Macaca mulatta: one gene and its partner. The protein of the gene in region 2 purifies or fractionates together with the protein of the main gene of each other region. This does not show direct contact. Links are inferred from orthologs where the notes say so. Each region holds a gene or a part of one and is shown on either strand. Other genes may lie near its edges.

What was found.
Region 1: the proteins of CSTF2 (region 2) and CSTF3 fractionate together in Homo sapiens (co-fractionation; 4 studies listed by BioGRID and IntAct, with this or other methods). This does not show direct contact. The link is inferred for Macaca mulatta from reciprocal best matches to the Homo sapiens genes CSTF2 and CSTF3.

Annotation. Positions count from the first base shown.
Region 1 is NC_133419.1:32,174,312-32,182,733, reverse strand, and holds part of CSTF3 (cleavage stimulation factor subunit 3), read right to left. Parts: coding exon 8,416-8,422; intron 6,038-8,415; coding exon 5,960-6,037; intron 5,199-5,959; coding exon 5,036-5,198; intron 2,604-5,035; coding exon 2,494-2,603; intron 2,040-2,493; coding exon 1,923-2,039; intron 1,654-1,922; coding exon 1,579-1,653; intron 1-1,578. UniProt on the Homo sapiens protein: One of the multiple factors required for polyadenylation and 3'-end cleavage of mammalian pre-mRNAs.
Region 2 is NC_133426.1:107,700,601-107,709,545, reverse strand, and holds the start of CSTF2 (cleavage stimulation factor subunit 2), read right to left. Parts: upstream 5,637-8,945; 5' UTR 5,608-5,636; coding exon 5,550-5,607; exon of another isoform or gene 5,395-5,549; coding exon of another isoform or gene 5,376-5,394; intron 4,484-5,375; coding exon 4,405-4,483; intron 3,762-4,404; coding exon 3,592-3,761; intron 3,393-3,591; exon of another isoform or gene 3,260-3,392; intron 2,728-3,259; coding exon 2,591-2,727; intron 2,134-2,590; coding exon 2,014-2,133; intron 1,900-2,013; coding exon 1,762-1,899; intron 1-1,761. UniProt on the Homo sapiens protein: One of the multiple factors required for polyadenylation and 3'-end cleavage of mammalian pre-mRNAs. This subunit is directly involved in the binding to pre-mRNAs.

The DNA of each region.
Region 1 (8,422 bases), on a different chromosome or scaffold from region 2:
GTATTAAGAGATGCATGCAAATTAATTTGTTTTTTATTGAGATATAATTCACATACCACAAAATTCACCCTTTACAATTCAGTGGTTTTAAATATATTTACAAGGTTGTGCAGTCATCACCATTATCTAATTCTAGAATACGTAAAGTTTAAGAGTGAAAAGTGTGACACTACTAGAACATACTCCATTAATCAATGCCAATATCTAAAAAACTCAAGAGTTGGTTTAATACAAGCATGTTTTACAATACATGTTTTTTGTTGAGACAAGAGTCTCGCTCTGTTGCCCAGGCTGGAGTGCAGTGGTACGATCTTGGCTCACTGCAACCTACGCCTCCCGGGTTCAAGCCATTCTCCTGCCTCAGGTTCCCAAGTAGCTGGGACTACAGGCGCTCGCCACCAGGCCCAGCTAATTTTTGTATTTTTAGTAGAGACGGGGTTTCACCATTTTGGCCAGGCTGGTCTCGATCTCCTGACCTCATGATCCGCCTGCCTCAGCCTCCCAAAGTGCTGGCATTACAGGTGTGAGCTACCACACCCAGCCTGCAATACATGTTAACTTCATATTTTCTTGGTTTCTTTTTAAAAGCCCACTACTCTATTTTCCAAACAACATATAATAGAACTTCATGGATAAACGATGAGCCATTTTATACCCAGCACCTACAGAATGTCCAGCACATCATGAATATGCAGTTTTGTTTAGTGAACAAATGACTAATTAGTAGGGTCCTAGTTTGCTCAGTTTTGATAATGTCTAGCTATGTTATCCAGTTTTGATGGATGGATGAATGGATGGATGGATGAACTATGAGTTCCTCAAGAAAAGGAATTTTATCTAGTTTGTCATTATGTTGCTGGAGTCTAGCACAATGCATAGACTTCAGCAATATATTTGCTAGATATCTTTGTGGAATGAATTATAAGATGATGAATAAATGTAGGAATTATAGCAGTGGAATCTCAATATAAATCATTAACAAGAAAAAGTAGTGTAGCTATAATTGACTTGAGGCAGACGGTCTGAAGACACACCCACAAGCCTGTCCCCTTCCTCTCCCAATGGGAGAGCACAACTGCACTTTTGCACTTGGGGCTTTGAAAACCACTATGATAGAGCAGGATTTAGAATAAAGTGAGTTTCAATCTAATTTCTTCCCAGGATGTTGGTTTCTCCTGCCTCATTTAAAAAGAAATATTTATTAAGCAACAATTCTGTGGCATAAAGTGGCTTCAAACCATGATCACAAAGAAAGTGTTAGAGAAAGTGCCTCTGTATCTATTTTATACTGCTGCATTAAAAAGAGAAATTCTAGCAGAAAACAGATCAGTAATTGTCAGAGGTAAGGGCAGAGGGAAGGGTTATATCTACAAAAGGGTCACAAGGGGGAATTTTTGGAGGATGGTGGAGGTGTTTTCTATCTTAATTGTGGTGGTGATCCCATGACTCAATGTTATTTGTCAAGATTCATAGAACTATACAACAAAAACAGTGAATTTTACTGTATATAAATTTAAATTATTTTTTGTTAGATAAGACTGTAAAGGTGGGAAAAAAGAGATCTGTAAAGTTACTCACCAAGGTGGGGTCAATATCCTCAATTGCCAGAAGTCTGTTATATATACTGTGAACCTTTTCATACTTCATGCGACTCTAAGGTGGTAGAGAAGAAGTGAGTATCAACATATGGTCATAAATAAGCAGGATTTGAGCTCTAAGGAGTCCAAAAGCTATAACCTCCCACCCCCAATGGCATCTCCATTGAGCATAAATATAGTATAAGCTGACAACTAATAACTGTTCATTTGGCATCATCTCTGTCTACCAAAAGCAAAATGCCTGGCAAACAACCAGCCAGAAAAAAAGTTCAGTCCTGCAGTAAAAAATTGAATTATAAGAAGGCTCTAAACATTTTTACTTACCTCTTCATAATCTGCATATGCAAAATAAAGAAGCATATTCTTCTTCAATAAAGTGCTTATGGCTCTTTCATATATATTAGCAGCTTCATCACTAAATAATTTGGCATTATTCATATCCTAGGAGAAAAAAAAGAAAGCTCATCTTCAATAATTCTAATATAGTTGTGAGAGAATAAAATTAATAGTTACATCTATTTTATTTATTTATGTGTCTAAGAAAGCATATATATATGTACACACACATATGTGTATTCACACACACACACACATAAACACATATGCATTTCTGGATTCTAAAAAAATTCCAAAAACTCCCTTCAGTAGTTTAACTTACAAAATAACCATGCAAGTACTCTAAATGATTCATCACTTTAATATGTTAAAAAACTGCCAGTTTATTTTAATTCTAAGGCGATCTAATTATATGAGTGTCACTAAGATTCATATGAACGTAAGCTTAAATTTTCAATACTTATGCTTTACTACCAAAATTCAGTTATATTTTTCAGTAAATCATTGCTATATCAAAACCACAAAAATATCAAAGTGGGGATAGGGAAGGAACACTTACTCCCTTTTCTGCAAGCAGTTTACTTGACTGCTCAAGATACTGGGCAGCTTCATACCAAATATCAGGGTGATGGCCCAGCACAAGCAGGCACTGTTCATAAGCAAACATAACTAAGGGAAGAAATTAACAAACAACATTCAATTAAAATAATAATTATTTGTAAAACTATCAATATAAGTATCATAACCAAATTAGGATCCTCAAAAATCAATGATAATTAGAAATAAAAACCATCATCCATCTAAGCTCCCTCCATCTATCCATCACTTATTATTTTTTTTTATTTTTGGAAGCAGGGTCTCTGTCACATAGGCTGGAGTGCAGTGGCACAAATATGGTTCACTGCAGCCTCGACCTCCTGGGCTCAAGTGATTTTCCTGCCTCAGCCTCCCAAGTAGCTGGGACCAGGTGTGTGCCACCACATCTGGCTTATTTTTTAAAATCTGTGGCCGGGTGCGGTGGCTCACACCTGTAATCCCAGCACTTTGGGAGGCCAAGACGGGCAGATCACGAGGTCAGGAGATCGAGACATCCTGGCTAACATGGTGAAACCCTGTCTCTACTGAAAAGCAAAAAATTAGCCGGGTGTGGTGGTGGACGCCTGTAGTCCCAGCTACTCGGGAGGCTGAGGCAGGAGAATGGCGTGAACCCGGGAGGCGAGCTTGCAGTGAGCGGAGATCGCGCCACTGCACTGCAGCCTGGGTGACAGAGCGAGACTCCATCTCAAAAAAAAAAAAAAAAAAAAAAAAAAATCTTGTATAGAGACGAGGTTTCACCATGTTGCCCAGGCTTGTCTTGAACTCCTGGGCTCAAGCAATCCTCCCACCCCAGCCTCCCAAAGTACTGGGATTACAGATGTAAGCCACTGCACCCAGCCTAAGTTAATACTTATCAAGCACCAACTATATGATAGGGAATGTGGAAGGCACTGTGAATATACAAATGAATAAGACTTCCTGTATTCAAGAAGTCTGCAGTAAATGGGGAGGATAGACAGAAAGCAAAGATCAAAAGTATTATAATGATGAAAGTATAGTATACTCTGAAAACTTACAGCAAGAGAACTTAACATAGTTTAGGGACTCAAGAAAGGCTTCACTAAGGAACTGACATGTAACACAACACCTGAAGAAGGGATGAAGCTGGTCAGAGGCAAATAAATGAAGTGGCGTAAGGATGGGGTAGATACAAAAATGGCGTAGGCAAAGGAAACAATATTTGCAAAGACCTACAAGTAAGACAGCAAGCCAAGATTGAGGAATTCATAAAGCTCCAAATTAAGAGTCTGGCACTGGCATAGTAGTTTGTATCAGACCAACCCTCAGCAAGTAAAAATTATAAACAAACACAAATACAAAAGCAACTATCTAAAGGTACTGGAAATGACCAAAAGAAGCAGAAATCAGGATATTGAGCCCTTAGAAAGGTAGAACACCACTAGGTGAAATCCACATTTAATATGGCTTTTCCCTTCAAGCGCATGCCCATGTTGTGCACTTCTGGGATAGCTAGAACTCAAGTCAAATGCTGCAGTCATACTGTCCTGAAGTAACATGGAGTTCTGGCCTATGAGAGCAGCTGGAAATTGAGGGGAGACATCCCCAAAAGGAGAAAGCCAGAGCCTGAAAATCTGGGCATAAATGTTCTCAAATCCTCACCTGATCCCTAAAATGTACACACACAGGAAAGGATACAACCAGACCAGCAGAAAACAAAGCTGGAAGGCGGAAAGAGTTGAATAGATACCTCAGCAACTAAGGGAGATGAAGTTTAGAATTTGAGTCCCATCCGATTAGATGGTTGGGGCAAATACCTTAGACTTTTCATTGTCTTAGGAGTAAAGACTATGTCCCGAGAATAAAGTATTTAATCTGAGATTAAGGGTAAAACTAAAACAGATCTGTCTTCATAGTATAAAACCAAGCCTCCACAAAGTCCAAGTAATCTGACAGTAATACTTAACTTCCTGCTAAAATAAAAAAACATTCTTCAGAGGAAGATGACAGAATCTAGAGTCTTTACAATGTTTCATTTGTACCTTCGTACAATATCTAAAAGAAAAAATTTAAACAGGAAATAGGAAAATGTAAACCACAGTCAAAGAGAAAAAACAATCAAAGAAAATAAACTCCATGGTGGTTGAAGGCCCAGATGTTGGAATTGGCAGATGAAGACTTTATAACTACTGTTATAAATATGTTCAAAGATATAAAGAAAAAGATGGTAATGAACAAACAAGGAATCTCAACTAAGAAATGGACACCATAAAAAAGAACTATAAAAATAAAAAATTTCTAACATGGAAATGTATAGAACTGAAAAATATTGTATCTGAAATAAAGAATTCACTGGATGTGCTTAATTGCAGACTGCATATGATGAAAACAAAGGTTCAGTGAATATGGAGATAGATCTATAGGAATTATTGAATCTGAAGAACAAAAGAAAAAAAGATTATGGGTAAAAAAGTTTTGGTAACCTATGGGGATACCAAGTGGCCTAACATACATGTAACTGAAGTCATGAGGGTTAATCTTGTTACCTCTTTTTGTTATAAGGGTCTGATCCTCTGTACGAAGAGGGTTGCTCTTTTCCCACTGTATATATTTCTTCCACATATCTACTTGTTGAGCTTCTTGAGGAGTATTCTGAGGAGGCACCGAGGGAGCATTACGGTCCAAGCCTTTCATTACTGTCTCATATTCCTAGACAACAAGCATTTAGAATTCTTTGGTGAGCCAGGAACAACTCAGATGTATGGGGGATGGGGTAGATCAGTTTGGAAGACTGTTCAAATGCCTACTTTTTCCAAATACCACTTTGTTAATATAATCTGAAAACTACTTAAGAGTAGAGAGAAAGATGAGAGTATTATCCACTCAAGAACAGGTTCCCAGGAGTGGGTGAACAAAACACCCATGGGCCCTCTCTATAAGTGATCTAGGAGGTTACTTTACAGGATATAAGAGTTGACAGATCAATAGAATTGAAGATCTGGTGGCATTTATTATTGCCATCTTTGGAGAAACTGTCTTCTACAATTTCAGTAGTTTATATTAATAGGCTATTTTTCCTAACTTCTAAGAGTGTCAATGAATGGAAAGGTATGCACACAATCAAAATGTGTCACTGAGAGCTATGTTATTAGATCACAGAATAATACAATATTCAGACAAACCCAAATAAGAGAGGGAAAAGAATTACTTCATCAATTCTAAGTAGAGTCTTATCTCTATGTCCTGTTTCCATATTTTATAAAATAATTTCTTCTAAACCCAATTTATTATATTTTGTTCGTACAAAGAGATATTTCATTTCAAATATGTCATCTCCTCAGACTTTGCAATTAATTGCTGTTAAGATTGCTAATGATTGAAAATATCAAAAGTAATACCAGACAGGGAAAGCTCTGCTGTAAACAACAGGTTCATAATAATCATTAAAATAGATGGATGGAATTCCATACCTTTGCTACACGTCTAGCATTCATATAATCTCTACTCCGATCTTCAATCATTTTTTTAGCTAAATGAATATTGATACCCTAGAAAAAACAAAAATATTTTAAAATTAAGTATAGTTTCTTGAAAATTAGCATAATACAGTTAATTTATTCATTTACTAAATAACTTTAAATTCTTTATTTTAAAAGATTTCTTGTTTAATAAAGGTTCATACAGCTCATGAAAAGCAGGAAAAAAAAGGTTCAATCACATTATACATTTCAAAGATTAAGGAGGATGTGCTTACGTCTTATGAGCTGGCAGTAAGTTTCCATTTATCAGGAACTTTTAAAGATAGAATCATTTGAAAAGGGTCAATTATTTCATATAAGATTCTACTAAAAAAAAAATGACATGGCTCATGCCTGTATAGGAGGCTGAGTTGGGTGGATCACTTGAGGTCAGGAGTTCATGACCAGCCTGGCCAACATGGTGAAACCCCGTTTCTACTAAAAATACAAAAAAATTAGCTGGGTGTGGTGGCGTGCACCTGTAATCCCAACCACTTGGGAGCCTGAGGCAGGAGAATTCCTTGAACTGGCGAGGCAGAGGTTGCAGTGAGCCAAGATCGTGCTATTGCACTACAGCCTGGGCGACAGAGCGAGACTCCGTCTCAAAAAAAAAAAAAAAAAAAAAAAAAGATGTACAGATTCATCTGGGTGAATAGCCATGGTTTGACTTTGATAGCCCTTTTTCTTTTTTATAGACAGAGTCTTCCTCTGTCACCCAGGCTAGAGTGCAGTGGCGCCATCCTAACTCACTGGAACCTTAAACTCCTGGGCTCAAGTAATCCTCCTGCCTCAGCCTCCTGACATAGGACTACAGGTGTATCCTGCCAGGTCTGGCTCATTAAAAAATTTTTTTGTTGTTGAGACGTAGTCTTGCTATGTTGCCTGGGCTGGCCTCAAACTCCTGGTCTTAGGCAGTCCTCCCACTTCAGCCTCCCAAAGTGCTGGGATTACAGGCATGAGCCATCACACCTGGCTAATAGCCCTTTTCTAACTAGTTCTGTTGTATAACACTTTTTAAAGAGACAAACAGAAGTAGCAAGGAAAGATAAACATTACCACTCAGTGAGTACTCCAAGGATTCTAAGACCCTTTCAGGGAGTCCATGAGATCAAAATAGTTGTCATTATAATACTAAGACATTATTTGCGTCTCTCATAAAAATACAGGAGTTTTACAGAGGCTACGTGACATTTAGTATATAACACACTGAATGGAAGCAGATGTGAAAATCCAGCTGTTTTCTATTAAACTAGACATGAAAGAGATTTGTGAAAATAGAAAATAATGCCACTCTTCTAACTACATTTTTTGTTTTGGAAAATACAGTTTTTGGTCAGGCATAGTGGCTCGTGCCTGTAATCTCAACATTTTGGGAGGCCAAGGCAGGTGAATTGCTTGAGCTCAGGAGTTCAAGGCCAGCCTGAGAAACATGGAGAAACCCCATCTCTACAAAAAATTAGCTTGAGAGTGGTGGCGCATGCCTGTAGTCTTAGCTACCTGGGAGGCTGAGGTGGGAGAATCACCTGAGCCCAGGAAGTTGAGACTGCAATGAGCTGGGACTGTGCCACTGCACTCCAGCCTGGGTGACAAAGTAAGACCCTGTCTCAAAAAAATAAAAATAAAAAATTCTTTGTGATCTTCAATAATTTTTAAAATCCAAAAACCATAAAGTTTGAAAACCACAGCTGATGCCTGTGAGGGAACAATTTCACTACCCTATATAGTTCTTCGAAATCACAATATACATACGAAGAACTTTCTTTTTTTCTCTTTAGAGATGGGGGTCTCACCATCTTGCCCAGGCTGGTCTCAAACTACTGGGCTCAGGCAATCCTTCTATCTCGGCCTCCCAAAGTGCTGGGATTACAAGTGTAAGCCACCATGCCCAGCCAAGGAACTTCCTTCTCTAGAGCTTATTTGGCATGTGTATTTATGTATTCAGATTGATTAGCTCAGTTATTAAAAGCAGATACCAATAACACAAAGATCTTGGATTGTAGCCACACACTTCACAAATTCAAACCAATAATCACATCACTGTAATCAGGTGATAGAGGTACACAGCAACTAAAAAATAATTCCCAAAAGGTACTATTGGAAACATAATTCCCAAAAGGTACTGTTTTATAGGTCAATGGCAATGTGTATGTGTGTGTATGAATGTGTGGACATGGCTTAGCGCAGACAAAAAATAGTTTTATAAGAACTACTGTTCTTCAGAGTATCCTCTAAAAAATAACACTAATATGGAGACTCTCAAAACCTTGCAAAAACATTATAGTGCTTTCATTACAATCAATAAAGAAATGTGTAACACTGATATAGAAAAGCTATAATCTACAAATCCACAATGCATAAAAATTAAAATGGCTTGGTTTATAATAAACAACTACTCTGACCTAATTTACCTCTTCA
Region 2 (8,945 bases):
AAACAGCTCAATAAATAAAGAATAAAAGCCAAGTTATATAAAAAAAAATTACATACACGTTTAAGGAACACAAAACTCTACAACAGAAAAGGAAGAGCTGTATAGGAAGGTAGTTAAGAGAAAACTGGGTATGAGGTCAGATAAAACCAGGTTCAGAACTATATCTGCCACTTACAATTGTGTCCATTTTTGGACTAGCTAACCTCTCTTTTCTATCTCTGAAAACATTTATTTATTTAGAGCAGGAGCTGGCAAATGATGACCCATGGGTCAAATCGGGCTCACTGCCTGGTTTTGTAAACAAACTTTTATTGGAACACAACCACACACACTTGTTCACATATTGCCTATGGCTGATTTCATACTACCATGGCAGAGTAGCTGTGGCAGATCCTGTGGCTTGCAAAGCCAAAAATATTTACTATCTGATCATTTACAGAAAAATGTTTGCTGGCTCCTGCCCTATACCTCTGCCAATCTGAGAGATGAAAAATGGTAGCTTATTGTAGTTTCTATTTACATTATCTTTTAACATTACATGTATTAATAATTTATTACATTATCTTATTTTGAGGTTGAATACATTTTTATATATTTACTTTATATTTCTACTTTTGTGAAATATTTATGTCCATTTCCCATTTTTCTACTGGGTTATTGGAAATTTTCTTACTAATTTATAGGAGGCCTTTTAAAATGTATTATGAAAAATTACAGATATACAAATCATATAGGAAATAAAATAGCCACGCAGCTTGGGAAATAAACAATAAAATACACCAATGGCCTGTATGGTCTTCCCCAATTGCATCCTGTGCTCTCTTCTCCTTAGATGACCGCTAAGACATCTTCCTAATGTTTTAAAATTTTATAGGAATCATTACATACTCAATATATTATTTTGAAACTCACTCCACATATTTTGGGGATTTATGCAGAAACATATATCCTACATTTCGGGAATGCATCCACATTCACTTAGTTTCATGTCCGTATGTTATTGTTTTGGAGTTATTTGTGTTGATATTATGTATCCTAGTTCATCTTAACTGCTGTATGGAATTATGTTTTTCAGAGTCATTCATGTTGATACGTGTAGTTCATTTAACTGTTGTACAGTATTTCACTGGATGAATGTACCACACATTTTCTCCATTCTTCCATTGATGTACATTTAGGACATTTCCAATTTTTCACTCTAAGGCAATAAACATTTCTGTGCATGACTATGGGCTCTTTATTAGTCTGTTGTCCATCACATGTGTGGCAAATACTTTTTCTCAATTTGTCATGTCTTTGATACTTATTTTTTTCTTTATATAGAAATTTTTTAGTTTTCAAATGTATCAATTTTTTATGGCTTTAGGGTTTTGTGTCATGCTTTGAAAGCAAGCTTTACTTTTTTCATTGGTAAGAATGGAGATAATAAGAGTGCCAACCTCATACAATTGCTTTGAGGATTAAATGAGATAATGCATATGGAATAACAAAGTGCCAACCACAGTGCCAGGCATGCACATACACACAAAGTTAGCTTATAAGAAAAGGGCATACAGGAAGGATCTCTTTGTTTTACAAACTTGGAATCGAATCTATATTCATTCAGATGTCATGTGCTCTGCAACCTGGAAATTGCTTTTATGCCTGGAAATTGAAATTATCATCTCTGGTTCCTGACCATTCTTCTTTCAATATATTCTCCTAAAAAGAAAATGACATTCTAAGACAGATAAAAAAAAATGTTAAGGGATAAAGCCCTACCAAAGACTGGGCCTGAGGGGCCTGAGGATTCTGCTGGTTCATTGACACATTGGATCCTGACCCAGGCCCAGCACCATGGACTGGCTGAGGGTTGCCTGCAATCAGCGTTGGGATATTTGTCTGGCGATGCAGAATTTTCTAAAAAGTGAAAAGACAAACCTATAAGCTGTCTGTTTAACAAAGCAATCAGGTAGTTCCTATCCCACTCAAGGTTTACCCGACCATTTCCATAAAAGAACCAGAAGCACTCACCAGGGCAATTTCCGGATCCACAATTCTCATCACTACCTGTGCTTGCAGCAAAGCATAAGCCAGTTGAGGGTTCTGAAGCAACATGTTCCGTGCCTCCTGGGGACTATTCTGGACACAGAGCTGAGAAGATAAGCAGATTCAGGTTTAATACTTATGACTTAGAAACTGATAGTGATTTAGAGTCATTCCCCTCTGAGAAATGTAATATTCAAGAGGCTCTTTATCATTAGTTTTTGCATGGCACAAAAAAACCTTGGTCATGGCAGGCAAGAGAAGAAAGAGGCATTTCAAATACTGTGATACTATCATTTAGGAAAAAAGCCAAATTTTAATATCTACATCTGACATCTATGGGCCACAAAAATCCAGCTGGATTGTTTGGATAGCTGTGTTTGTGTACAAAAATAGAAAGCTCTTTGTACAAAATGTAAAATATACTGTGTACATACAGAATATTGAAGGTGCAAGAAATGGTGGTCTACAGACAATTTCTATTTGAGCTCAGGGAACTGATTCAATTAACTCCTTGAAAACCTGATGTGGTTTGCTTTATTCATAACCTAATGCCTCCTCCCACCTTCATTTGTTTCATCAGCTCAAACATCTGCTCTGGTGGAAGGCTGGCAACTGCTTTGCTAATGGACTCAGGGGCATCCTCAGGACTGATGGTCTCTCCATAAGGTGACTCAATGACAGGGGCACCAGTGCCAAGGCCTAATCAAGAAGAAAGTACAAGAAAGTTAGGGAGGCAAAACAAAAAGCTAAATCATTTCAAGTATCTATTTTTCAGGGCTGCTGTAAGAACCAGCTGATAATTTTAGATTCTCCAGAGCTGAGAAATAAATGATTTGAAAGCCTCTTGTTTCTGTGGAGGAAAGTGAGAGTGTATTTTCTGTTCTCAGAGGAAAGCTGGGGATCATGATCACATGGAAGGACAATGTTAACCTAAGTTAGAGAACTGGGAACACTGACTTCTTTTGACAAGTCATTTCAGAAACAAAATGTTAAAAGAGAATAACATGCTAATTTCAAAAACTCCTGAAAACAGTGACAGGAATGACTAATGCCATAGTTAGTACTACTAATGGCTTGATGAATTTGAATTCATCTTTAACTGGAAATAACTCCTTAACAATGGAAAAATTTCGTTTTTTTTTTTGGAGACAGTCTCACTCTGTTGCCCAGGCTGGAGCAACTGAAGCATTTCTAATGTCAACTTTACAGTTTCTTAAAGATATCCACTTACTAGCAAGTCTCCAGCATGCTTAGGTCTGCAGTGACCCTATGCATTCCTACAGTGCTTGCCAGAACAGTTTTGAAATGGTTTGAGGCCTTGCCCTGCTCCATCCAGAGCAAGGGTATAGAAATTTCAGACAATTACTTGAAAAAAAATTTATAAAAAATTTTTTAAAAGATATATATAATACTTGCCTAACTCAGGCACATCAGATCAGTCAAGTAATAAACAAGCTGTGTGGCTAACCATTTCAGCATATTCTAAAACATAGCAGAAACGGAAAATCTTCATTGTTACATCTTTACTAACTCACACTGCATCCAAGTTGGATTTGTACTCACTCTTCAGCTCTTCTTTGTTCTTTTCACTGGCAGCATTGTCCACTCGAAGTGCTCTCCCACTGAATTCACGCCCATTCAGGTTCCGCATGGCACTAAGTGCTGTCTCTTGGTCTTGGTATTCACAGAAGCCATAACCCTTTGGCTTTCCTGTCTCTCTATCATATACCAATCTGGAGAGCAGAACCAAGTGTCAGGAACAAATGTTACACACATACAGGGTTCCTGCTAACATTGCCATGCTTTAATTGGGCCCACTGTAACATAAATAACTTTACAGCTCTGACAGCCTCACAGAAATATTTTTTAAAACTTTTTCTTTTTTTTTTCCCTGAGATAGAGTCTCGCTCTGTTGCCCAGGCTGGAGTGCAGTGGCACGATCTTGGCTCACTGCTGTCTCCGCCTCTTGGGTTGAAGCAATTCTCCTGTCTCAGCCTCCTGAGTAGCTAGGACACAGGCATGCGATACCACAGCAGCTAATTTTTGTATTTTTAGTAGAGACGGGATTTCACCATATTGGTCAGGCTGGTCTCGAACTCCTGACCCCAGGTGATCCGCCTGCCTCGGCCTCCCAAAGTGCTGGGATTACAGGCAAGAGCCACTACGCCCTGCCTAAAAAACATTTTTAATGAAAAAAACATATTTTAGGTAAGAATAAATGTCAATTGTATAGTATATCAATTATATCTAAATAAAGCTGTTACAAGAATAAAGTGTATGTGAAAAGTCACCAGTAAAGAAAACCTGCCATTACTAAGAGCCAAATCTGTGGTAATTTTTAAGAAGCTCCCACCATGAAGTAAAAGGGGATCTCACCTGAAACTAACAACAGGTCCAACCTCAGAAAAGATGTCCTTCAACTGTTCTTCAGTAGCTTCATAAGGAATGTTCCCCACTAAGGAAGAAAACAGGTAACATTAAAATTCCGAGTTTATAACATAGATCTTTAGTGAGAAAGTAAATGACAGAGTATCTACTTATATCATCAAATATAAGGCTCAAAATAGTGTTCTCCAATCCCAATTCCACTGTATTTCTCTAGACCTCTTAACAAAGGAAATGTACCACTGAAACTAAATACAAAATGTGTAGGTACTCTTAAATGTTAATTCTCAGACTGATCTGACAAGTGTTAGATTTTCCTTAACTTTGGTGAAAATAAATACTTCGGCACTGGTATTTACCTAAAGATCTGCAAGTCTCATCAGTGACTACAAAAAATATCAATGTTATTTAATATAATTTTTAAAACAGGTTCATATGTATTTCCACACATACAACATTTAAGGGAGAATGACCATGAATGTAGTGAAGGATGTTTAAAAATTATTCTGAACTACTTTGTCATGTCCCTTTCAAATGGCACTCTAAAATAATCACACGTATTTTTAAAAACAACTTATTTCAGCCAAAAAGATAATTCAGAATCATTTCGATCCTTTTTAAAATTCCTCTGAGGAGGTCTTAACAGTTCATTCATTCATTCATTTACAAGACATCTCAGGACACCAGGTGGCCTCTACTACTATTGATGAACTAAAATGTTACGGATAAAAAGCAAAGGATGAAAGTCCTTACGAGAGAACAGGAAGTGGACACTAGGATCTATACCCTCAGCATATAGTCTGTATTCTGGGGCAGAGGATGAGAAGTAGTACGGGACAGTGAGGAGCTGTTGCCATGCGCCCTCTCCTCTAGAGAATAATTAAAGCTCATGAAAGGAGACACGCACAGAAGCTGAACGCTAGTCTAACTTCCCCAGTGATATTGCGGAAAGCCTACGAGACCTCGGCAGAATGGGAACATCTCTTTGCTCACGAGTCCACCAGGTTGGACGCCCTACAGGATAGGCAGGGAGAACTGCATGTCCGAACCGTCAGCGGCTCCGGTAGCGATTCATGAGATAGGAGGTGCAGAGGGGAGTCCCTCCCCGAAGCTTGGCTCCAACGAATTCCTCTCACCGAACACAGAACGTAGAGAACGATCCACCGCTGGGTCTCTCACAGTCAAACCCGCCATAGCTCTATTGAGTCGGCTTCCGGTGCGCCAAAGCACACTTCCGTACGGAGCACAAGCCCAGCGCTGAGCACGCTTCCGTACGGCGCGTGAGCCGGAAGTGCCTGGGTGGAACGGACGCAGAGCCCCTCCCCTGGCGACCTTCTGTTAGCCGCAGGCGCGAGTTGCGTCCACCGGAGGACTCAACCCCCACCCCTGAGATTAACTCTGTTCCGAGCCAGATGCAGGCGAGTCCAGGCTAATTTGAAGGGTTTCAGCCTGCAGACTTCCTTCTTATTTTCTCTTAGGTTGATGCAAGTACTCGTTAACCACAATAAAGATGGCGCAGCGGCTTTACCATGGTAACAGGGAAGTCTTTTGCTGACAACTGTGGCGCTTGCATTTTAGTTCCGCCCTATCAAGGGAGGGAAATGCTTGGGCGCGTCCCAGCAGCGTGCATATTAATTTGCTAAAGCTGTGCGTGTATGGAGTGAGATGAGGAAAGGGTATGCTAGCCGAGAGAAGCATAGTTGAAGAAATGGGAGAGGTAAAGGGAAAACAGACCTCTTTCTGTCCTGGTGTAGTCCGTGGGTTCCATGTGGTTCGTGGTGGGGCGGTGCGGCTGGGGATTCTGGCAGGCAGGAAACAGAAAACGTCATTCATTAGTTTTTCCACACTTTGGTGCCCACGCTCCTGTGATGTGGCATGCAGGGCAGGTCGTTGTATCAGCCCGAAAAGGCAGACCCTGCCGGGGTTGGAGGAAATCCAGAGGGCACCTCAGGAGGACAGGGTTAGGGGAGAAGCAAAAGAAGGAGCCAAGAGCGCTACCTTTGAGGGACTTGTCCGAAAAGGGAAGACAGTAAAATAGCCACGGAATTGGAGGCACGGACGTTTTTATTAATTCCACATGTATTAAAAGTATACGGACCGGGTGCGGTGGCTCACGCCTGTAATCCCAGCCTTTTGGGAGGCCAAGGCGGGCAGATCACCTGAGGTCGGGGGTTCGAGACCAGCCTGACCAACATGGAGAAACCCTTTTCTACTAAAAATACAAAATTAGCCGGGCGTGGTGGCACACGCCTGTAATCCCAGCTGCTCAGGAGGCTGAGGCCAGAGAATCGCTTGAACCCGGGGGGTGGAGGTTGTGGTGATCCGAGATCCGCCATTGCACTCCAGCCTGGGCAACAAGAGTGAAACTCCGTCTCCAAAATAAAAGTATATGAAATATGATAAATATTTAGAAAAAATTAATAAGTGCTAGTTTACACCATGGAACATATCACTTAAAGAATTTCTGGTAAAGATGGAACGTTTGAGAAGAGTATTCTCATTTTCCATGACTCTGGAGTCCCATTTGCAATCATTGCGTGACCAAGAGGACACCTTGTGTAATGGAATAGTCCAAAACGAGATTTACAGCTCTGTAAAAGGCACAGTTTCAAAGAGTTTTGGTGTGTGTCATTGTTCCGTTGTGGTGAACTTTTGCTAAATGCATGTACGGCTGAGTATATTTCTAACTCAGTGTTTGGCAAACTTACATAAACAAAAGATTCACCTGGGGTCTTTAAGTAAGAGTATAGATTCCTGGGGCTCCACCCCAGCCCTATGGAATGGGACTCTAGGGAAAGAACTTGGGAATCGTTATATTTAAACAAGTGCCACTGGTGATTCTTAGGGTCAGGTAATTTGAGTAGTATTGTAGTTATTGAGGTAGCTTTATGGCAGCATTTAAAACACGCATGCTTTCTTATGAAATTTACCTTAAAGTAGTTCTCGAAGTTCTCAACCCTTGTGGAGGAGCATGTTTGGAAATGTACAGGGGCATTTTCAGTTGTTGCAATGACTACTACTAGGGGAAGAGAAGCCAGAGATGATAAATGGACTGCCATGTCCCAGGCAGTTCTACACGATGAACCCTTTCCCTCATTGAATGCCAATAATGTCTCTCCCCTTGAGAAACACTTAATATCAGCCATATTAGACCAAATGGACCCTGGATCTGAAGGCACTGCCTTCAGCTGAAGGCACTGCCAGCCTTGCATAAATAATTTGTGCTTCAGTCTTCCTGTAACTGGGTAGCTGATCCCAATGAGTTAGTAGTAGTAAAAGCTAACATTTATTAAGCACTTGCTCTGTCCTCATTGTATTGGTTTTCCATTGCTGTGTAACAAATTTCCACAAACTTAGTGGCTTACAGCAACACTCATTTATTAGCTCACAGTTCTGTAGGTCAGAAGTTTGGGTGGACACGAGTGGGTTCTTTGATTAGGATCTCACAAGGCTGAAATCAAGGTGTTGGACTCTTATCCGGAATCTTTGGGGGAAGAATCAGCTTCCAAGCTCATTTTTCTTGTTGGCAGAATTTGGTTGGTTGTGGTTGTAGGACCGAGGTCCTTTTTTCTTTGCTGGCTGTTGACTGGAGGGCTGTAGCTCTTAGCTCCTAGGGGCTTCTTTTTGGTCCTTACATGTGGGTTTCTACATTGAAACCTTATGCTGTGAATCTCTGACCAGAGATTCTTTTGACCAGCTGGGGAGAACTCTGCTTTTAAATGGCTCTTGTGTTTAGGCAAGGTCTAGCCAAATAATCTCCCTGTATTAAAGTCAGCTGTGCTATGTAAAAACCTAATCATGAGAGTAAAATCCATTATAATCACAGTCTTAGGAATTATGCAGGGCAAATACATCAAGTGGTCAAGAAATCTTGAAGCCAGTCAACTATACCCATTTTATTGATAAACATCTCTAAAGAAGTTTCAGTAACTTTCCCTAGGTCCCACAACAAGCAAGCTAAGGCATGGTTTGAGCTCAGGTTGCTCTGGCTTCAGAGACTGCTTAATTGTTACATCGCCTGCCTCTCAATATAACTGAGGAAATGTGGATGGCTCAGCATATTTCGTCACTGTTTCTGGGAAAGAGTATAGAACATGTGACCTGGTGATTGTGGGTCCGTGGCTCATAACAATGAACTACTCAAGAAAAGGGTGGGGGACTTAGCCAGGGCTTGTTCTGCTATCATCAGCCATCTGTGAAAAACAGACTATTGGTTCTATGACTTCAGCAACCAACTTCACTCTGCTGGTTATAAAAGAGGAGATGTGTGCAAGGGATGTATCCCAAGTGCTTTCTTTTTTATCTTTAGATTTTACTTATACACTCTGTGCTAGTGACTCCTGCCTCAGTCTGTGAGAGTCTTTCCCTTCATTGATATCCTCCCTGAGTGACAGCATTTCCTTTGCCTCCAGTTCATAGCAAAATGAAGACAGAAGGTGGGATGTTTCATGCTGTTGTTGATGTTATGACTGAGCCTCAATTAACGATATAGGTATGGTATGAAAATGTAGGGAGAACACAAGCAAAGAAGC